Neurospora crassa OR74A: one gene and its partners. The protein of the gene in region 1 purifies or fractionates together with the protein of each later gene. This does not show direct contact. Links are inferred from orthologs where the notes say so. Each region holds a gene or a part of one and is shown on either strand. Other genes may lie near its edges.

Region 1 (5,472 bases):
ATATAAACGTCTTGCATCGGAACTCCGTGCCCGTCTCTTTGTTGCCAGACGGCCCGAGGGGTCGAGCACACATGTAGAAGGATCTGCCTGCAACGAGATGCGAATCAAGGAGTGTCAGCGTGAGGTCATCAGACTGTTTCAGGAGGAGGGGAGAGTGGGGGTGGGAGAAAGGAGGGCAAGCAAAAAGAAACAGGCGGAAAACAACAGCACCACCTACCACAGTTGATCCCCGGCTTCTTGGTCACTAAGCTCTGGCAATCCTCGCCGTGCTCACACTTCGGAACGACCCTCTTGCCCAACAGCTTGGACCAGGACACTTTGTTCTGGATAGGGTCGAAGATTGTTTTTCCTTTGCCTTCGTCCTCCATGGCAGTGCTGTTTTCTCCATATGTTGTCGAGTTGGTCTTGTGTTCGACAGCGTTTCCGTCCCATTCTTCGACATTGCCGGCTTCGAAAGCTTGCTTTGGTTGGCTTCCTTTCGCTGTAAATGGTTCGTTTCGCAATGCTGTTTCGGCTGCCGTTACGGGAGAATGGTTGTTTCCATTTATTGGGCCATGTCGTTCGTCTGGGTTGACGGTTGGAGTTGGAGTCTTCGCTTTGATAAAGCCCATGAGTGTACTTTGCGATGGGCCTGGCCCAGTTTTCGAGGATGGCTGCTTGGCGAGGGCAGCCTTGGCTTTCTTCGGTGGCCTGGTATACGGCGCAGGCTGCTCAGCTCGTCGTTTTGGAACGGGGGATGTTTGCGACAACGCTGGGTCGGTTGCAGTTGACTGAGATAACCACTGCCTAGGCGATGATGCGGAGCTGGCGGTCCCCTGTAGTACAGTAGTGGCATTCACCGTGATGGAAGATGTGTTGGGAGAATCGGAAATATCTTGGCTGTCGGCTGCTGGGGTGGCTGACTTGGGCGTGTTGGACGGCGTTTTCTTTTTGACGAACATGTCCTTGATGCTCTGCCGTCGATCAAACTCGGGAATGAGCCTGGCGGAGGTAGGCAGACAATCCTTCTGAGACCATTCACGTTGGCGTTGGCCATTCTTGAACATGCCTTCTGGATTCATTATGTCTGTGATTGGAATGATGACACCATCTCTGCGAACACTGTCGCTAATGGTGGCATAGACGGGGCAGTGGTCTGACCCTAGAAGGCCTTCTTGGATGTTGGCGTCGACAAACCAGTCCTTGATTCCAGAGCTACACAGAACATAATCAATCCGACTACCAAAATTTCCAGGCCTCGCGTTCTTCCTTGTTTCCCAGCACGTGTACATGCCTGGACGCTTTGGATGGAACTCTCTGCAGAGATCCCACAGCACAGGCTTCTCTCGCCCTTCGTCTGGCTCACCAATCACTCGGCCACCGAAAACAATTTGGTTCAAGAACCGGCGCGAAGGGGTCGAGATGAACTGGTCGAGTGTCATGGCCTCCTTTTTCAATTGTTCTGGTAGACCAGCGGTATCCATCTCGTTTCGGATGATGTTGAGGTCGCCGCAGAGAAACACCTCTTTCCCCAAGGAGACAAGGTTACGAACTCTGGCATCCATGGCGTCGATGAAGGCCTGACGGAACTCGATCCTGGTCTCGTCTCGCGTGGCCGGGCTGTATACACCGATAAGAACAAAGGCAGGGAACTCCAAGATGACACACCTTCCTTCGGAGTCAAGTTGAGCTTCGTCTATGTCGCTGGAGAGTTGGCCGGGAGTGGGATAGCCACCAATCTGCTGATCAGCAGGCAAGTCGCGAAACTTTGTGGACGAGTTCGGCGGACACAGAACGCCAGTAATGCCTTCTTCGGCGCGTATCGGGCAACATTTCGAGGAACGAGTGTAGATTGCAACTCCCGAGTAGCCCTTCTTGTACGTGGGTAAGTTGAAGTACACATCCCAGCCAGGGACGAGGACCATGTCGTCTCTCAAATCCTTCCGCTGAATCTTGGTTTCCTGTATGACCACAATGTCGGCGTCCAAGGTGTCGAACATGGCCTTCACTGTGTTAGAGCATCCGGCCAGATAGGGCTTTTGAATAGGGAACTTGATCCCACCTGAAACGTGCGGTTCTCCCGCCATGGCTGGTAACTGAATGGGTTTCTTGAAGCAGGGTCAGAGCTGGTTCATAGGGACGGCTTGTCGTGTTAGGACCGACCTGATACCATTGACTACACATTGGTTTGAGTTAGACCAGGCAAAACGCAGCAAAAACGCGCAAGAGGATCTCACCATTCCACGTCGTGATCCGTAACCCCATTTTCAGATATTCCTTTACTGATGCTAAGGTAGCTCTCTAGATCTACCAGGTTTATAGCACAACAAAGTCACTTCGGTCGCCGGATGCGGCGCTTGTAATTGCAATGGCCACACGAGAAGCAGAGGGACATGGGCTGACGTCTTCGATGTTCGGCTTCGCATGAGCAAGAGCTTCAGGTCTCGGGAACAATTGATCTTTCCCTCACGTCGCTACATCGATCGATATTCCCAGTCTCTTGGAGTTTGCCACACCTTGCGGCAAACGACCAACGATGTCACTAGCTGCCAAGCCATCGCCAAGTAGTTCGCGGCGTCCACAAACGAACGATTGGCTCGTGCGGTTGAATTACGCAGGTGAATTGGGCGGTCCACACACGAAGTCACCTGACAGGCAGCTGCTTTCGTCATTCCGACTGCTCGCGCAACTCAAGCTTTCAACGGGAACGTGCACTTGGCACTGTGGCTTGATTTCGACTGTCTGTGCACTCCAGCCACACCCCATGAGCAGCCGCAACCCACGCACGCACCCGAGGTCGAACTGAGCAATGAGCTGATCGGTCTCTGACCTCACTCAGTTCGCACCCGGAGTCACGAGAAGCCGCCAAGCGCAGGAGGAAAAGAGTGGGGCCAGCTTGCTACAACCTTTGCTGCTGATTCCGCATCCACCTCGTTACCAGTCCTCCTCCGAACCACCTGTAGTCGACCACAACGAATACGGAAACCATGTTCGCCCAACGCCAGATGTTCTTCGCGCGCCTCGCCGCCAACCTTCGCGCCCCCGCGGTCCGCCAGACCGTCCAGCGCCGCTTCGCCAGCACCCCTGCCAACGAGTCCGGCAAGAACGCCTTCGTCCGCGAGCGTGAGGCCGTCAAGCAGCACGCCGCTGAGACCACCGGTGCGCACTAATCCACCACCCGCCCTTGTCAATTGCCGACCCCGATTATCGATGGACGGGAAATGCTAACCGGGAGTCGCCATATAGAGCTCTGGCGCAAGATCTCTCTCTAGTATGCGCATTTCCTCCCACCCCCCAAATCCCCGCTGCGTGGTTTTTCCCGGATGGACCCCTCGGACTCTGAAGGAATTGGAACTTCAGCTAGCTCAAATGAAGCTCCATCGAGCTCCGATCGGAGCCCGCCTTCAACGACGAGCGCATGACACCAACGTCATAGCCGACGTGCACCGCCGAGAAGACGAAGGGGATCAACAGTCAACATCTACGGAATGCTTGATTGAGTGGGGGACAGAAAAGGGGAATGGAACACAATAAGCTAACGAAACTCACCCTTTCTCCCAGCGGCATTCCCCCTGCCCTCGCCCTCGCCGGATACAACGCCTACACCCTCTACAACGAGCACTGGGAGCACTGGTCCCACCTCCCTCCCCTTGAGGAGCGCACCGAGTACCCCTACCAGAACATCCGCACCCGCAACTACCCCTGGGGCGATGGTGACAAGACTCTCTTGTACGTTTAACCCATCCGAAGCTCGCACAACCGGCGGGCATCTCTGCATGGCCTTTCTGAACGAAGGAGCTTTGAGCGTGTCGAGCCCGCCCCATCGAAGGAGCCTCATTCTATGGCAACAACTACTGACCGATACCAACTCTGTTTAGCTGGAACGAGTCTGTCAACTACCACAACCGCGACAAGGTCACGTAAGTGGCTTGTTGATGCGAGCTTCACAAGCACCATCTGTGCTCTTGCTTGCTAGACTGGCATCATCCCTGGATCATTGGAAAGCAAAGAGAATTGGGACAGCTAGCGTGTAGTGAGAGCAGGTGGCATGGGACTGTGAATGAAGTGTGGAAAAGAAAGAACAGGACGAGTGCTAGAGGCACCACCACGTCTACTGATCCGCAATCATCATATCAATTTATTTGTATTCTGATATCAGCCTTTGTAAAGGCTCGCATTGACATCCATATGATCTTATTCTTGATGGAAGCCCATGTGCAGGACGAAAACAGTGTTCTACTGCTATTGCTGGGGATCTCCATGAGACAAAGTGCAGTGAGCCTTCATAGCTTCCTTCCATTTCTACCAGGGGTATAAAGACACAAAACAAGGGGCACACATCCGCGCCATGTTCGATGAAATCAAACATCAACCTCTATGGCCAGCGACAATATTCTCCATTCCTCATCAAGTCATTACAACCGAACTGCTCCATAAAAACGTCCGACCGGAGCTTTACTGAGCCCCACCCAAACCATATTATGGCGTACCTGTATCTGTCGACCATACACTAGAATGCTCGCCCGACGAGCTCTGCCTCTTCAATGCCATATACCGCGCCGCATACTCCTCCGCTCGAGCATGATCCCCCAGCACTTTCATTAGCGTCGCCCTCTTCGCCAACGTCTCGCACTGCTTCTCCAGATCTTCCGCCGCAGAGAAGTGGTTGAACGCACACTCCAGCGCCTCGTGTGCCTTCGTAAAGAGGTCGATTTTTTTGTTGCTCATCAAGCTCGCCGCCGCTCCTGTTGTTTCTCCCGTCGTCGTCATCGCCTGCCTGGCCTTTGCAGCTTTTCCAGCCTGTCCCATCCTGGCATCCGCCAGGATACTATACAGTATGCCTGTGTTGAAAGCATTCTCCGACTCCATCGAGCGCGGCAGCACTGCTTCTACTAGCTGCACAGCGGCAGTGAACTCGCCCATCGCATTCAGTATGTTGGCCAGAGCGCCAACCGCCTGCCAGAGAAGGGTGAGCAGCCGCGCACGCCACGCAAGGCTCGCCGCGCGCATGGTGATTGAGAACCCCCTTTCCGGTCTGCCCATGCAGTCAAAGAGGTGCGCCTTAGCCAGCAGTAGCCGAATACGCAGAGACAAGTCCCGGTGGTCATCACGAAACTTGGCGATCAGCCGCTCGATCTTTTCGTACGCGGCGTCAAAGTCCTTGCGCCGGATCAGTGCCTCGATGTGCAGCGAGTCGATAATGAACACCACATCTGGATCGAGCTCCTCGGAGCCGATCTGCAGCAGCTGCGCGAGCAGCGTCTCGGCCGTGTCGAGGTCGTTGTGGTGCAGGTCGCGCCGCAGCTTGACAAGCCCGCGGTAGAGGTGCCAGTACTGGTTAGGCTTGGCGGCGCGGAGCAAGTTCTTGTCGATGCCGTCCTCGAGCTTGGCGAAGGCTTCGTTGTACTTGCCCTTGCCGGCGAAGGTGCCGGCTAGCCGGCAGACCATCTTGAGCTCGTCGTCGAAGCAAGCGCTTGGGGCGTGGACGCGCAA
Region 2 (5,965 bases), on another chromosome or scaffold:
GTGACTGACCATTTCCAGTCAGTGAGGACCTCAGCTGCAGAGATTGCTCAGCCTTTTGGAGTCTGATTCCTCCCTCTTGCAGTAACCCTGTCGCCTGAAAAGTCCGGGGATGATCTCCAGCGCCATGCACCCATTTCGAAGATGTCGCCCTCTCCCCTTCAAACACTCGGTTACACGAGACTATTCCGTCCAGTAGACGCTACAATTTGGGATGATTGGCCATCGGTTTGTGTCAGCCATTGCTCCTTTCATAAGCAAGGAAATCGGCGGCCTGTTGAATCAACTCATTTTCCAGTGCATCGTCGGTTCTTCATCATGATGAATGCTTTAACGGGCAAGGTGACCCCGAGACACTGACAATGAGCCAAGTACCGAGAGGCAGTCTTGCCATTGACATAATCCTCAAAACGAAAAGCCGTTTAAAAGCGAGTCCTCGGACAGGGTGAAGACCCCGAGCCATTTGCGCCCCAGCCGCGGAACCAACTCCGCCCGAGGAGATCTACTCAGATTACCCCGGACTGATCAGCCTTGGTTTATTGGGTACCATTCAGAATGTATGCCTAAAGACAAAGCAGGAGCCCGATCCTATGGTCGGGTGGCTAGAACAGAGGTAGGTATGGTTCGTGGAATATTCCAAGACTTAAGCCCCTGTCTCACCATTCCATATCGCATGTTTCTCGACACCCACCTCATCCTCATCCAGTCAGGGGTATGCAAGCCATCCAGCACCATCGCCGGTTTTAGTATCGACCACGTGAGTGACATCCAAGACCCTGAAAACCGCTCAACTGAAGCAAACGACAGTAACTGCATGACGGGCTCCCCGCATACCCCAGTTGCCCAACTTCCAAAATGGGAAACAAAAAACGGGGTGCATCGTCTGTGCCTCAACAGGGCGAGAACCATGGGACAGGACTCTGGGGTTTGGGGATGGTGGTGTTCGGGAGGTGGGAATTTTCCGCCACTAGGAGGTGGTATCATGTAGGTAAGAATCTTACTTAGTGGGTAGGAGGCAGAGAGAGGAGTACGTAGCTGTAGGGCGTGGTCATGTGCTTAACAAGACGTCCTGTGTGTTTCCATGTCTTGAGCCTCCATGTTGAACAAGGTAAAATACGAGTGTTGTGTAAGCTCCCAGGCGTCCCAAACTCCGAACCCGACTCTCATATGCGAAATTTCACTGCCATGCATGCCTCCACCTCTTCCACAACCACCCAGCCCCTACAACTTCAGATACCACTTTCCTTTCTGCTCCTCCTTCTCAAGGAGCGGGTGGAGGTGAGAGGGGAGGGAGTTGACAAAGGACCGGTGGCGGTTACCGGCTGTGGTGAAGAAGCTGTGGATCGTTTGTTGTGTTGTGTTCTCGTTCGTGAGTTAGTTGGATAAGATAACTTGCACACTTCCGGAATGGTGCCGCTCCAACTTGCACAGGGCGCCGATCCGGGGATCCACTATCGGACACGGAAGCCGGATTGGGCCCGGTAGTTTGAAGCTGGAAAGCCCGAGTTCCGTTTGACGGGGTGGAGCATTGTCGATGTTTGATTGGGGCTTGGAGGGTTAGGGTCACGCCAGTCAAACCTGCAATAGCTTCATCAAGACCTTCTTCCTTCTGCTCCCAGTTAGCTCAATCATTATATAATCTATGCCGTACCCAAGTCAATTGAAACCTAGGATTGCTTCACACAGTCTCTTGCCATGTATTCATCACGCAATTGTCGCTTCACTTCATGGTACAGTACTGATGATATGAGCGGTCCCACGTGCTGCATCACCTGACCGTGCGCTAGCTGCTTCTGGCAACCAGCTGGGGAAGCTTTCCAGAATGTGGTCCAAGCGCCTCCATTCGTACCAAACAACCGCCCGTTCGCCAGTTGCCAGCGGCAGAAGGGAAGGGCAGCACGGTCGGGGCCTCTGTCCACTGCAGTGGTGCCCAGCTCAGCTGTGGGACCCACGGCAGTGTGGGCAAACCAGCTTCGGATTCGGACAGACAGCGACAAAACATCATCTCCCGCCTCTCCGCTCTCTCCCGGTCAATTCTGTCACTCCGACATCACACCATCCACCACCACCCACCCGCCGCCGTCGCCAACATGCTCCTGTCCCGCACCGCCGTCGCCGTCGCCCGCCGGGCCACCGCTGCCCCCGCTCTCCGTCGCAGCATCGCCACCACCGTTGTGCGCTGTAAGTGAACATTGGAAACGTCTCTTGGTTTTTAGCGGCTGCGGCCTGAAAAAAAGCACGGCATCCAAAAAAGCTCCAATCGCGAAGCTGCAAATATCCGCGCATAAGCATCATCACCACCACCACCACCAACGACGACGACATCATGACCCCACCACCACCTCGAACCAATTCGCGACAACCAAACGCGCATCAATCACAAACCCCCGAATCCCGATCGCAAAACTGACACCATGTTTTTATCTTGATTCCAGGCAACGCCGAGACCAAGCCTGTCCCCCACATCAAGCGTCTCTCCGGTATGATGATCTCCCCCCGCCGGCGATTGCGTCACCATTGTGTCTATTGGGGTTGCTGGAGAACTGGGCTACGCGAACTGGAAGCTGTGGTGGGTCTTTCGAAGCTCGAGCTGAGCTTAGTCAAGCTTGGGGGAGCTTGATGAAACAACAAGAAGAAGGAGGAGGAAAGCATTGGACGACCACAAAAAGGAGGGGGTTATTATCATTGCGCGGACGAACCGGAGAAGAAGCTCCTCGACCAGCTCAAGCTTGAGGCTCCCCTATCTACCACAGCTTCCACCGGCCGGGTAGCTCAGTTCAGCCCAGCTTCCCTATAGCCTCCACTCGCTCCATGACGATGCGGGGTGACGGACGAAACCGCATACGACGAAAAAACATACATGACTGACATATATACCTTTCGCGACAAACAGAGATCAAGACCAAGGATGACCTCTTCGGCCCCGGTGCCGCCCCCGGCACTGTCCCCACCGATCTCGAGCAGGCCACCGGTCTCGAGCGTCTCGAAATTCTCGGCAAGATGGAGGGCGTCGACGTTTTCGACATGAAGCCCCTTGATGCCTCCCGCAGGGGTAAGACTTGCTGTAATAACCTGGGTTGAGAGGAGCTGGGGGGTTGACAGTTGAAAAATAGGCACCATGGAGAACCCCATCTCCGTCCGCTCCGCCGGTGATGAGCAGTACGCCGGTTGCACTGGCTTCCCTGCCGACTCCCACAACGTCATCTGGCTCACCGTGAGTTTTTTCTCTTCTCTGTTTCTTCTACCGCTCAAATTGAGTATTCTAACCAAAAAATAGATGACCCGCGAGCGCCCCGTCGAGCGCTGCCCCGAGTGCGGCAACGTCTACAAGATGGACTACGTCGGTCCCCAGGACGACCACGCCCACGACCACGGCCACGACCACCACGGCTTCGAGGAGCCCAAGACCTTTGCCGACTACGTCAAGCCCGAGTACTGGTAAATTACCCAGTTGTGGGGTTTGCAAAGGGAGGTTTGAGGTTTTTGTGTAGTGGGTTGTTAATAGAAGAAGACATTGACAAATACGATGCATGCATATGACACAAGTTTACTGGGAGGCAAGCACTGTGAATGCGAACCTGGAGAACACGGGGGTGATGATGAGGCTGGGTAGGTGGTTGTTACCTCATTGGACTTGCATTCGGGAACCTAGAGCTGTAGATTTCTACCTAGAACCCTGGGGCCAAATAAATACTGAACATGGAATTGTATATACCATCGAGAAGCTCGAAAGAGGTTGGATTGGCGTGACAGTATCTAGATTCAGGATTGCTACTAGGGCTGTTTGCTCAGAGTGCATTCGCAGAATCATCTAGACTCGACCTTCTCTGCGGTACCGAGCAACAAGACTCGAGACCATCCAAGATAGCTTCTTCTGCCTGGCACTGAGTCAGAGCACCGCAGGATCGGGAACGACGTTCTGGCACAGCTCCCTATTGCTTTTCTCCGGACAGCTCTTGGGTAGTACTCCAGGCATAACGGCATAGACAAACTCGGACTTTGCATCCCTCGTCATCCGCAAGCTTGTCACCAGGTCGCGCATCTTGCGCCCTTCCACTTGCTATTGGGACATGCGCCGGCCGACGTGGTTGTTAGCCTTGAACACACACCTTCCTCTCGGCATGCCCCCCTTTTTTTTCTCCCGTCGGTGTTTATGTACTTCCAGCGCCCAAGCCCGATAACGACGGCATCTCAACCCTCCTCATCACCATCACCAAAGCTAAGCTTGATTTTCTTAGCCTTCTTCATGGCCGTCTTGGGCTTTGGTTTCTCCCCTGCCTGTTCCGTTTTTCCGCTTTGGTCTTTGGCATCTGTACCCTCAGCCTTTGCCTTTGGCTCCTTAGCATCCCCATCTTGCTCTTGATCAGAGTCATCATCGCCAGCAATGACCTTCCCTACCTTTCTCTTCTTCTTACTCGCTCCTATTCCCACTCCTTTCTCCTCCTTTGCCATCTTGTTATTCCCTTCTTTACTCCCCTCCCCATGTTTGTTTCTGTCCCCCCCTTCCCCTTCTCTCCCTTCTTGTTTTCCCTCCCCATCTTTCCCATCTTTTCCCCCCTCCCCCTCTTTCCCATCTTTTCCCCCCTCCCCCTCTTCCCCCTCTTGTCCCTGTCCCTCCCCCTCTGTGGTCCCCTCACCCTCCACCTTCGAACCAGACTCCATCACCCTCCCATCCTTCCCCACAGACACTCCATCAACCACATTCCCCTGTTCGTCCAAAACAAGCGGCGCGTCCTCCGCCTCCTCACTTCCACTCCTCGCTTTCTTCGTCGGTCGTCTCCGCGCAGCCAGGATCGGATCGGGACCGTCAAAGTTCCCGGGGGCATGTTGAGCATGCAACCGAGCGAGAAAGGGAGGGAGGGTAGCGGAGCGGTCGTAGTGGAGGTTTTTGGGGTTGAATTTCCCTCCTCCTGCGGAGCCGCCTCCGGAGCCACTGCCGGGACCAGCAGACATGTTGCGTTGAGGAGCGTATGTAGGTGTTGTTGAATGGGTTGGTGGGTGGTTGGTTGGATGCTTGAGTAGGTAGGTAGGTACCCAGGTACAGGCCAGGTAAGGTAGGGTTTGGTGATGATGGTCTGTCTGCTCGGGTAGGGAGCAACTCGATGGCCTTCTCGTAAAGCTAAGTAAATCGTTGTGGCTTCTTCGAGGAGATGGATGGATGTTTGCGCGTGGATGCGCCAGGTGGTTGTCGCGTTGCGATAGGTACTGTTCGATGGATGGATGGAAGTGGGCGCGCGCTACACTGTAGTTCAGTAGTAGAAGCGGTCGATGGGTTCCGGTTCTTAGTAGCTGAGTGCGGTACTAGGCTAGCGTCGCACAAAACCAGATCGAGGAGATCAATACCTTGGTATGATACCAAAAATCGGATAGTAGTTTGAATGGAGGGAAATTATTTTGGATTGTCGATGGTCACAGGGAGCCTGCGACTGGAATGAATTATCCTGGAGACGGGACCTCGATGGTCTGGTCTGGTTTGGTCCAATGGTGGGAATGGACCCGCTCAACCACTACATAGAAGCTTAGGCCAATGGCCTTGAAAATGCGGGGCCATCTCAGCCGTTACTGTATGTAGTGCAACCTCCGGGGAAGCTTACAACGTCACATCGCCAATATGAACTTCAACACACTCATGAGGGGACCAATCAAGAATAGATTCCAACCAAAAGAAAGCCTGTCTTTTATACCAGATCAATTTCCCGTCCCTATCGAATTAATCTCAGATATATCCTTTGCTGCCTTCTGTGTCCTCCATGCCCTAAACCTTTCTCCAGATCAACCTCATGTTGCTGAACCTCTTCACTCCAACATGTACGGCGATGAAACAATCTCGGTCATGAAACGGCGCATATGTAATGGGCAAACAAACTCTGGCGAGGTTCCATAGATTTATCTATAAGTATGTCTAAGGAATAGCTTGGAATGATATGCCCCGGCTGCTTCATGGCTTGCCCCGTTCATATGCTGCATT
Region 3 (5,685 bases), on another chromosome or scaffold:
TTTCGGACTCGGATGTATCAGGAGAGAGGTAGTCAATGGCGAGGAGATCATTCACAGCTCTTTTAAGCTGGTTGATGAGATCTTATTTGCGAGGGTTGGCAAGGAGTTCATGCTCGGAACATCGTCGTACTCCGAACTAGTGGAGGACGTCATCCGAGCAGAGCTGCCTGACTCTTATGGAAATCTTGTGGAGAGGTTTATCGTCGGTACAAGCTTCCTGGAGGATCCTGACCGTGGCGCTGGTACGGACAAGCGCGGTAGGATCTTGGTGTTCGGGATCGACAGCAACCGGGATCCGTACTTGGTCCTCAAGCACGAGCTGAAAGGCGGCTGTCGCGCTCTGGCGGTCATGGGCAGCAAAATCGTGGCTGCACTCCACAAGACAGTGGTTATCAGCCAGTACGAGGAAACGTCAAGCACTGAGGCCCATCTCGTCAAGCTCGCGTCTTATCGGTGCACAACTTATCCGGTCGACATCGCGGTGCATGGCAACATGATTGCTGTTGCTGATATGATGAAGTCGGCTACACTGGTCGAGTACGTCCCGGCCAAAACCGGAGGGGAGAAGTCCGAAGCCCCCAAGTTGGTAGAGTGCGCGAGACACAGGCATTCTGCGTGGGCAACGGCCGTGGCTCACGTTGAGGGCGAGTCTTGGCTTGAAGCTGATGCCAATGGCAATCTGATCGTGCTTCAACGCAATGCTGAGGGCGTGACAGTGGAGGACCAGCGGCAACTGAGGATAACAAGCGAGCTCAACCTGGGAGAACAGGTGAACAAAATACGCCCGATCAAGGTCGAGACTAGCCCGAACGCCATCATCATTCCTCGAGCGTTCTTGGCCACGGTAAGTTGCCTGTTTCTCAGATTGATCATGTCACAAGGTCAAGGCTAACAATTGACTTGATAAAACAGGCGGAAGGCGGTATTTACATGTTTGGTACGATTGCGCGCGAACAAGACCTCTTACTTCGGTTCCAGGATAAACTGGCGGCGGTGATCAAGACAGTTGGCGAACTCGATTTCAACTCCTACAGGGCATTCCGCAATGCGGAAAGGGGGCCCGAGGCAGATGGAACGACTGGGCCGGTCAGGTTCCTGGATGGGGAGTTGCTGGAGAGGTTTTTGGATGTGGATGAGAAGACGCAGAAGGAGATCTGCGAAGGTCTTGGGCCGAGCGTTGAGCAGATGCGCAATATGGTAGAGGAGCTACGGAGGATGCACTGAGCCAACGGTTAGACACTTAACGTGCATGATTGGATGTCTACAAGTCATCGCTTTGGCTGCTGAAGATTTTGGCAGTTGCAAGTGTTGTCAATAAGTGCTGTGCTCAAAACATGGCTGCATAGGGTGAGAGAAGATGAGTCTGTGAATAGCCTCAGATGAACGAATGAATTATGTATGATCAATAGATCAATTGACATCACTGTCTTGGCACCCTTGGCTCGCCGAGTCGCTGACAGTTCAAGTTGTCCGGGCGCTGCGGTGACGCGCTGAGGTGAGCCCCACCACCACCATCACCACCACCAACAGGACGAACCAGGCGACGGAAGAAACCGGAGAGTGGACGAACAGGCAGTCACAGCCAATCAGGGCCGGCGCATTAAGTAGCTCTCTAGCTGCTGGGCGGACGCTGTGGTTGGTTAGTGCCTCAGGCCACAAGCCAGTAGCTATGGCGGTTTCCCATGCCGGGAAAGGTGGGAACCAAGCTCGGCCCAGAAAAACCTCAGTCCGTGATTTTGGCCTCGTCGTCTCGACCGCATTACGCAGCCGTCAATTCCGTCTCCGGAACACCGCCCACGTCCACCGTCCTCCCGCGACTCCGAAAGAGCAGAACCTCGCTCGATCTCCCCGCTCTCGCAACCCCCTCTCTCCGCTCCGACCTCTGTCCACGCGAGTAATTCTACCGACACAATGGCGCCCGTCTCGATCGTTTCCCGCGCCGCCATGCGCGCCGCTGCCGCCCCCGCCCGGGCCGTTCGCGCTCTCACCACCTCGACTGCCCTCCAGGGTTCCTCGTCCTCCACCTTCGAGAGCCCCTTCAAGGGCGAGAGCAAGGCCGCCAAGGTCCCCGACTTCGGCAAATACATGAGCAAGGCGCCCCCCAGCACCAACATGCTCTTCTCCTACTTCATGGTCGGCACCATGGGCGCCATCACCGCCGCCGGCGCCAAGTCCACCATCCAGGGTGAGTCTTGACTTGATGGGATTTGAGGAGGAAGCTTCACACATTCCTCGAGGTTGGGGAAAACAAAGAGGTGGCATAGGACAGATGGGTTCGGGTCAATGGGATTCGACAAGGGGGTTCTGTTATGGTGGGGCGAGCTATCTACGGTTCCGTCTCATCGATCACCAATTTGCGACCACTATGACAACTTTCGATATCGGGGCGGATATGGTTGGACCTTGGGGCGATGTTGAAGCATGGATACATGGGGAAAATGCCATCTTGCACATGCACCCACGAACACCCAAGAACTAAAGACAGCTGACGAGGCGACCGTGTTATACAGAGTTCCTCAAGAACATGTCGGCTTCCGCTGATGTCTTGGCCATGGCCAAGGTTGAGGTTGACCTCAACGCCATCCCCGAGGGCAAGAACGTAAGGATCCCTACGAAACCGGATTAGCAAAGGCTTGGGCTGAGCTGAGCTGGGCACATCGATTCCCGACGACGATCAAACCATGATGGAATGCTGACCCCGGTCTTTTCCTACTTTTACAGGTCATCATCAAGTGGCGTGGCAAGCCCGTCTTCATCCGTCACCGTACCCCTGCGGAGATCGAAGAGGCCAACAAGGTCAACGTTGCCACCCTCCGTGACCCCGAGACCGACGCCGACCGTGTCAAGAAGCCCGAGTGGCTCGTCATGCTTGGTACGCCCCTCCATGTCCCTCTTTGCGATCCGAACAAGACGAAGGATAGCATTTTTGGATGCTCAGATCCTGGATACACGACGATGTGGGGAGACTGACATTTGGTGTGTGAACAAAACAGGCGTCTGCACCCACTTGGGTTGCGTTCCCATCGGCGAGGCCGGTGACTACGGTGGCTGGTTCTGCCCTTGCCACGGTTCTCACTACGATATCTCTGGCCGTATCAGGAAAGGACCTGCCCCTCTGAACCTCGAGATCCCTCTCTACGAGTTCCCTGAGGAGGGCAAGCTTGTCATTGGTTAAGCGAGCAAAAAGACAAAACTTTCCGATTGAACAAACAAGACACAATTTTTAACCAAACCTACTAGGGAATCCTCTCGATATTCCCTTGTCCACTTTTTTTTTCCCTTGCTGCCCGAGAGACGATGACAGGGAGAATTGTATTAGTACGGGGGTATTGCGACAAAGGGCTTGAGTGGAAGCATGTCATAGACCATAAAACGGGATTTTTGTTTTCCGTGGTTCTTGACGCGGTTTCGTACGACTATCCTATAGACAGAAGACACACATACGCATACACAACAGCAAATCAGGTGTCACGGTCGATCATATGCGCTCGAGAGTCGGAAACTTCTATATACTCAGAACTGCGTTCTTCACCTACGCAACCCTACATACCTATTATTGGTGCTGAGCTTGGCGCTAGGTTGCTGCTGAGTGTTGTACCCTTGCGTTTTCCTATAGACTGGCTTTGTAGAAAATCCTATTGTATGAGAGGCTCACTGGAGCATGGTACCGTGAGAAGGTCTTCCTCGACCCATGGCAGTCGGCTGTGGCTAAGAGCTTTGTGAGGAAACCATAGGTCAGCTGATGAACCTCCCAATGCTAACGCATCTGATCATCCAACACGGCATTGGTAAATACAAATGGCCTTTTATGCGGGTGTGGGACAGACAGGCTACATGTCGAATTGCTGGAGAGCAGCTCGACCAGAATTACAGATGTTGACAACTTAATCTTAGCTTGGCCAACCTTGCGAATCAAGCCCAGTCGGTATACCCGCCCGTGCTACTCTGGTAGCTGAGTTAAGGAAACGCCCGCGAACCGGTAGCTTACCCTGGTTGTTTCATTGACGTCTGAGGAATTCTCCGAACGTAATTATATCTGAAGCCCGCCTTAACATCTTGTGCGCTACTCAAGCCGACACATAGTTAGTGCACTACCTCCAACCATAGCCCCTTGCCAATGCTGGCCGGGTGGGTTGCAGTCTCATTGCAGGGGCTAGGTTGTACCCCCATGCGCTCCCCCTTGCTCTGAGTCTTTTTCCCCCACAAACAAAACAACCTCATCTTTTGAACTTCGCCTTCCCGGGCGCGTCTTGACACAGCTTTCTCACTTCTTCACCAAATTCTCGAAACCCCTCACCCTTGCGGCTCAAAGGGGCTGCTCCTAGGGTCATGTAACAAGCGAAGTTCCATCGTTCGTCTGATCTGACTTGCCGACTACCCGAGGCACCATGGCGGCCACGATTCACCCACCACGACTGGACAAAGTTGTTCTCGAACATAAATTATGGCAGGCGCCACGGTCATTGACGGCGACCGAGATCGAGGCATGCCGATGCCACCGAAAGCGAGAAGTGAGGGGTGGGTGAACGTCGCAGTCAATCAAGCGCTTATGGAGTCTCATCTTATATGAACGGATCACCAAGTCGAATGTTTACTTTACCACTTGGGCTGGGAGGCTTTGACTGTCACTGAGCTGCCTGCCTTTCGACATTGCCCTCTGTTACGATCATGTCCGGGCCCGTGCCACATTCGAGATCGTCAACATAGGGCAGAGGGGAGACCATGGACTTGTATCAGTGAACATAGGTGCATGCTCAAAGTACGGCGGCACATCATTCAAAATATCGGCTTTCGAGCATATCTCAAGTGAGGATGTTTCAAACAACAACCCGATGATACCGAGCACCATCACATGTTTACTCGCACCGGCTTTACGGGAGGCATTCCGTAGCCAAGCGGCCATCACTCCTTTTCCACCTTCCATCATCAGTTTCCCCAGCGGTGAATCTTCCATCCTTCATCTTGAACAGGTTACATCCTCGTATTTCCCCTATCTCGACGATATGTCGTTGGTGACAAGGGGCCCAGGCGAAAGCCGCCCGGTACTACGGTACTAGAGGGGCAACTTATACATACACATGCCCACTTCGCTTGTACCTCAGACATGTGAGCTTGGTTGGCTCGCTACACGGAAGAAACAATGGAGTCGAGGCCTTGCCGGCCGGCCAGCGGATCGATCCCCCCTGTCGAACATCCTCGGGCCCAATGAACCGAATTCCTTTTTGGGCCATGTCGCTCCGGCTTGGAGCGGAGCCAACGCCCTGGCTTCACGACTTTCATGACAGCGGTTCAGGATGGGGGTTATTATTCAGTGCTACTACATATGCAATGATGAAAGGGCTCGTCCGGAGGGTCGGTATGTACAAGGCCTGTGGCAGACTGGTGGGAGATCACAAGGAACACATGGTGGATGCTCATCGACCAGGGGGTTGTTGGATCTTACGACCATGGTATATATAAACCATGACCGCTCTCTTCACGGAACGCGGACGAGAAGATAGCCTTGCTAACCAACTCCGCTCTTTCACCTTTGGTCTTGTTGACTCTTTCGTTCCTTAGATAGGGGTTCTGCGAACTTTGCACTCGTTTTAACATTCTAAACACTCTTTTGTATTTTTTTCCGGGGCTCCCCTTTGACAGGTCAGCCCATCTCTTTGCATATACAACAAGCCGTCTCACAGCCAC
Region 4 (4,942 bases), on another chromosome or scaffold:
TATTATAACTTCACGAAGCCCAGCACGTGCAATTAAGCACTGATAACTCCCGGCCATATCATGTATATGCGCCGCCTTTATTATCGGGGTTTCAGTTGGTGATGCCGTCGTGGTTGTGAAGAGCTCCCGTCCTGGATGTTTTTCTCTCTCTTCTCCAATTATCGAGGAGTGGCGCCCAGCTATCACAGACAACGACTTTACATACACCAGTCCAGTCCAGTCGCCAACACAACGGGACGCTAGCCGAACAGCACGGGGAAGGTAACGACTAACGAGACAACAACGGCGGCGGCTCAGTGGCTGTTCACCAGAAATAATGGGCTTCAAGACAAAAAAAAAAAAAAAAGGGCATCTCGACGGGGTTTTCCAGGGGTGCTCAACAAATGCCAGGCATTTCATCCACTGAATCCATTCACGTGTTCCTCCCGACTGACTTGACAACGAGCGGACGAGCGAGCGGGAAACCCGATCGACCTGCCTAGGCCCCCTCTCCGTCGTCGGCCATCTCGATGAATGGATGGATGGGCCATGGCGGGGTGGGGGTTCCACATCCACAATTCACAGCGCGAGCTGCTGCTGTCAGTCAACAACAACAACACTGCAGGCGACAAACTGACCTAACCACTCAACATCAGCGCCGACACAACATGGGACCTCCTTGGTTGGATCTCTTTTTGTTTGGAGGGGGATTAGCGACGCCAATTGATTAAATGTGAACCAATTTTGTTCTGGGTGTTTGTATCCTCATTATCATTCAGTCTCTCGACAATATATATGTTATATAGCTTGGAATGGTCTGTGCAAAATTAATAACACGGAACACAATTTCACATGTTCGTCTTTTCCATCTCTTCAACACATAACCCATGCTCCATGTAATCAACCCCGTCATAAAAATACTTCTATGATCTCTTTGCAAAAGCGAACAAATGGCGAGACCCTGACAGCCCAATGCAACTCAAGCGAAAGGAAAAAAAGACTATCATTAAATCATAGAATATACCAACCGAGGTTGTAGGAAAAAAAAAAGAAAAAGGGGGGGGGGGAGGGGGGGGGGGGGGGGGTTCGTTTTGCGCTTTTGGGCCACCCGTTCCTGCATTTGTTTGGTTTCTTTTCATTCATTACCCCTGAATGTTGCGTTGGTTGGGCTGATGGATGTATGGCCGGATTTCTTCACCGATCTGCTCTTTCTTCCACGAGCGTTTCTGGAAAATGCACTGCAGCTAATGACATGACTAGGCACCATACCAATAGTAGTTGAGAACTAACATGTACTTATGCCTACTTTGGAATGTTGCCCTGGAAATGCGGTCTGGAAGTTGGGGCTTAGTGCAGTGCCATTGTTTAGTTTTGAATTTGAATATAAAATGGCTTCGAACATACCTACCTCCCGTCATTGTTTACCTTGGATAGGTATCGGCATCTACGATGATGAGTTTGAAGGTGAAGTATTCACAGTCCTATTCATGGAGGTGAGAATGCTGAGCAGGGCTGGTTAGCTTGTCCCGGGAGAGGAACGGTATATGAACTAGGACGTTCGGCTTCACAGGCGTGGTGATACGTCATAAGGCCGGGCGCCGCTACAGTTTTCAGCCTTCCAGCGTCTGACATGCTTCCAGAGGCGAGAAAGAAAATCAAACTCCATGAAAGGAACCGGCTCGCTACCTCATGGTTCTCCTCGCAAGATCTAGTGCAGCCAACGAGCACCAAGCGCCGAAAAGACTGGCCTGCGGACCGGCAAGATGCACAATGATTGTACCCAAAGACAAGAGAACTGGAGCTAACCAAGGGAATGTCCGGATGATGCGTGGATAGATTAGGATCGTGACAAGGCTGGAAATCACATGCGATCTGTCGAGCCGAATGTAAACAAGAAACGACTTGGTGGTGGTGTTTCAGGTGTCGTATGAGATCCAAAACCAGCACATGCCGATACCCATAAGAGAGGTCCATGTCTTGTCTATGCCAACTCCAATTCGAACCGCGTGGGAATAAAGATGGTGATATACAGGTTAGTCTATTGAGTACTAGTTCTCTCTCTCGGGAACTGCACTCTGGTTCCGTGCCCAAGTATCGTAAAGTCCATCGCTTACTCCTCCTGGCCAGCGAACTCAGCACGACCGGCCTTCGAGTTGAGGTAGTGGTTCCTAACCAGCAGAATGCCCTGTTAGAATGTGGCACTCTCTTGAACGACGACAACAACGGTCCCTCCTTTGCCACCCCGTGATCGAAATCCCTCGGGGCTGTGGGTGGTGGTGATGCAACGTACCGCTCGATAGCCCAGTTCATGATGTAGTAGCCGGCAACAAGGGAGGGGGCCCAGTAGAGGAACTGGGAGCTGACACGTCTGAAGGTGTTGAAAACGGCGTCGTGGGCAGTGCCGGCGAGGGGGTTCTGGCGGTTAGGGCTGATACCGTAGGAGATGATGCCCCTCTGCTTCATGCCACCTGTTCGTCGGGAAGAAAAACAACATGGGTTAGATGGTCTTGTTCTGTCTCGGGGGTCGTCTCATCGGTTCGTCAAGGGTTCGGCGTGCGGGCGAGTGGGCGGGCGGTCATCAAGGTTCTTCGTCTTCTGGCTCGACCATCTGTCGTGCCCTCATATTCGCATTCCCTCCCATCCCGGTATTTCCCGTTGTTGAAGAATTGCCGTATGTTTGGTATCGGTGCATCGTCAATTGCAAAGGTTCCTACTCACCAAAGTTACCCCAGCCACCAAGGTAGCTATATCAACATGCACGTTAGCTAACATCCAGAGCTGGATCGGAGGGGGAGCCGGCGCAAAGGGAAAAGGGCGCATCGCCGGTAGCTTGTGCCATGAAGTTCCGGGCTCTTCCAAATCACAAGTGGGAAGACTGACTGGTTGTGCTTGCCGATGGGGGCACCGCCGCCGCCACCGAGCATGGTCTGAGTAGGACGCATCTTGAAATATGTGTTGTCGCGAAACGCGCTATGGGGGGTATCAATCGGGTCGTGGTGAGGACGCAGTCGTCGTAAAGGTTCGGGAAGAGCTTCGCGCGGCGTTGAACCGGGTTTGACGAAGTTCGAACTGAAATCGGTCGACAGTGAGTGGCTGGCACTTCATTTGCCAAGTGCCATGGAGCCGTCACTGGCAGTCCCGTCAGAAACCCGAGTGCTGGAGGCTCAAAAGGGATTAGCATGGAAAGGTACAAGCTACAAGTACCTTTACAGCATCATTCTCTTTCAGCCTCCTTCCGACCTGCCCGTCTGTTGAACAAAACAAGGTGCACGGACCATTAGGATAGGTATTGAATCACCATACGCAAGCACTGAAAGACATCCCCGGGCCATGCGGGGAGCTTGAGAGAGCTGGGCCTGGTCCGGGCGACGGGACATGGCACTCCACTTTTTGCAGAAGCTCCATCCATCGCAACGACTGCTGCTTACTGCTGCAACTGGGGAAGCACCACCACCACCACCACGATCCACGCCACGGTCCACGCCGTAGTGTTTGTAGTGTGATAATCCCACAGCCCACCTTGAGGTATCCCCGGAAACGACGTCCACGAATACTCTCGAGTCAGATCCCTCACCACCACATCAACCGAGTTCGATCCCTTAATCTTGATTCAAACCGATATTCACAATGGCGGCAAGAGGGTTGGACATGATCACCAAGTTCGCCATCCCGGCAACTGTTGGTGTGGCTCTTCTCCAGAACTCCATCTACGACGTCAGAGGTGGTTCGCGGGCGGTTATTTTCGACAGAGTTGCCGGTGTGAAGGACACGGTCGTCAACGAGGGCACACACTTCCTCATCCCATGGCTGCAGAAGGCCATCATCTTCGATGTTCGCACCAAGCCTCGCATCATCCCTACCACCACCGGCTCCAAGGATTTGCAGATGGTCAGCTTGACGCTCAGAGTGCTGCACCGTCCTGAGGTGCAGGCTCTGCCCAAGATTTACCAGGTGCGTTTACAAGAACTTGCCCCTTATGACGGCTACGACGGATCACAACGAACTTGAACTGACTGGAATCCCCACAGAACCTCGGCCCAGACTACGACGAGCGTGTCCTCCCCTCCATCGGCAACGAAGTACTCAAGTCCATCGTCGCCCAGTTCGACGCCGCCGAGCTCATCACGCAGCGTGAGGCCGTCTCGCAGCGCATCCGCGCCGACCTCGTCAAGCGCGCCGCCGAGTTCAACATTGCGCTCGAGGATGTTTCCATCACCCACATGACCTTTGGCAAGGAGTTCACCAAGGCCGTCGAGCAGAAGCAGATTGCGCAGCAGGATGCCGAGCGTGCGCGCTTCATCGTCGAGCGTGCCGAGCAGGAGCGCCAGGCCAACGTCATCCGCGCCGAGGGTGAAGCGGAGAGTGCAGAGACCATCAGCAAGTCTATTGCCAAGGCTGGCGATGGTTTGATCCAGATCAGAAAGATTGAGGCGTCGAGGGAGATTGCCCAGGTGTTGGCTGCCAACCCCAACGTGGCGTACCTGCCCGGAGGTGGCAAGGGGACAAATCTGTTGATGAACGTTGGCAGGGCGTAAACGGGAGCAATCAGTAAGGGAAAGAGACGAAGATGGTTCTGCAGAAAGGGGACCATGATACCTAGGCTACGGAGGTAAAGGGAGGTAATGACCAAAATGGGACTGTATTATTATGATATGAGCATTGTGTATCTTCCCCGCTTAGGCACTTGTTACAATAGGAGCATGTTTTTTGAACTTGACTTGTCTTTTGTCACTCGAGATGACATCCGATTTGATATTTTGACGGACGTGGGAATGGTGAAGGAATGGCCACTCTTTTCCTGAGGCTCCCAGTTCGGGCAGAGAAAAGTCACAACCATCCGATATAGGATTCCTGAGACGTGATATGCCTTACTAGGTGTATATTATGAAAGGTGAAAACGTTAGACACCCCAGACAGACCTCACACTCAACGCCAGGGACGCATGGATCTCGTAACGCTTAGC

The links. The genes of interacting proteins can lie anywhere in the genome.
Region 2: the proteins of eat-5 (region 1) and cox-4 purify together in Saccharomyces cerevisiae (affinity purification with western blotting; 6 studies listed by BioGRID, with this or other methods). This does not show direct contact. The link is inferred for Neurospora crassa OR74A from reciprocal best matches to the Saccharomyces cerevisiae genes COX13 and COX4.
Region 3: the proteins of eat-5 (region 1) and fes-1 purify together in Saccharomyces cerevisiae (affinity purification with mass spectrometry; 3 studies listed by BioGRID, with this or other methods). This does not show direct contact. The link is inferred for Neurospora crassa OR74A from reciprocal best matches to the Saccharomyces cerevisiae genes COX13 and RIP1.
Region 4: the proteins of eat-5 (region 1) and qcr8 purify together in Saccharomyces cerevisiae (affinity purification with mass spectrometry; 3 studies listed by BioGRID, with this or other methods). This does not show direct contact. The link is inferred for Neurospora crassa OR74A from reciprocal best matches to the Saccharomyces cerevisiae genes COX13 and QCR8.

The regions. Positions count from the first base shown.
Region 1 is NC_026501.1:1,850,071-1,855,542, reverse strand, and holds eat-5 (encodes anonymous transcript-5 protein), read left to right. Parts: upstream 1-2,770; 5' UTR 2,771-2,966; coding exon 2,967-3,138; exon of another isoform or gene 3,139-3,200; coding exon of another isoform or gene 3,201-3,225; coding exon 3,226-3,250; intron 3,251-3,540; coding exon 3,541-3,708; intron 3,709-3,857; coding exon 3,858-3,903; 3' UTR 3,904-4,458; downstream 4,459-5,472. Other genes in the region: NCU01961 (DNA lyase Apn2), read right to left, coding at 1-87, 218-1,982, 2,042-2,087, 2,143-2,155, 2,217-2,244; eat-6 (anaphase-promoting complex subunit Apc5), read right to left, coding at 4,459-5,472. UniProt on the Saccharomyces cerevisiae protein: Component of the cytochrome c oxidase, the last enzyme in the mitochondrial electron transport chain which drives oxidative phosphorylation.
Region 2 is NC_026503.1:512,976-518,940, reverse strand, and holds cox-4 (cytochrome c oxidase polypeptide IV), read left to right. Parts: upstream 1-1,883; 5' UTR 1,884-2,087; coding exon 2,088-2,178; intron 2,179-2,432; coding exon 2,433-2,477; intron 2,478-2,890; coding exon 2,891-3,049; intron 3,050-3,110; coding exon 3,111-3,211; intron 3,212-3,274; coding exon 3,275-3,439; 3' UTR 3,440-4,188; coding exon of another isoform or gene 4,189-4,950; 3' UTR 4,951-5,144; downstream 5,145-5,965. Other genes in the region: NCU16615 (hypothetical protein), read right to left, coding at 586-906; NCU05688 (hypothetical protein), read right to left, coding at 4,189-4,950. UniProt on the Saccharomyces cerevisiae protein: Component of the cytochrome c oxidase, the last enzyme in the mitochondrial electron transport chain which drives oxidative phosphorylation.
Region 3 is NC_026504.1:1,784,702-1,790,386, forward strand, and holds fes-1 (ubiquinol-cytochrome c reductase iron-sulfur subunit), read left to right. Parts: upstream 1-1,704; 5' UTR 1,705-1,911; coding exon 1,912-2,185; intron 2,186-2,510; coding exon 2,511-2,599; intron 2,600-2,721; coding exon 2,722-2,872; intron 2,873-2,993; coding exon 2,994-3,175; 3' UTR 3,176-3,903; downstream 3,904-5,685. Other genes in the region: dim-8 (DNA damage-binding protein 1), read left to right, coding at 1-844, 913-1,224. UniProt on the Saccharomyces cerevisiae protein: Component of the ubiquinol-cytochrome c oxidoreductase, a multisubunit transmembrane complex that is part of the mitochondrial electron transport chain which drives oxidative phosphorylation.
Region 4 is NC_026505.1:5,787,581-5,792,522, reverse strand, and holds qcr8 (ubiquinol-cytochrome-c reductase chain VIII), read right to left. Parts: upstream 3,022-4,942; 5' UTR 2,922-3,021; coding exon 2,860-2,921; intron 2,724-2,859; coding exon 2,698-2,723; intron 2,448-2,697; coding exon 2,270-2,447; intron 2,148-2,269; coding exon 2,090-2,147; 3' UTR 1,783-2,089; downstream 1-1,782. Other genes in the region: NCU08946 (hypothetical protein), read left to right, coding at 3,607-3,930, 4,008-4,514. UniProt on the Saccharomyces cerevisiae protein: Component of the ubiquinol-cytochrome c oxidoreductase, a multisubunit transmembrane complex that is part of the mitochondrial electron transport chain which drives oxidative phosphorylation.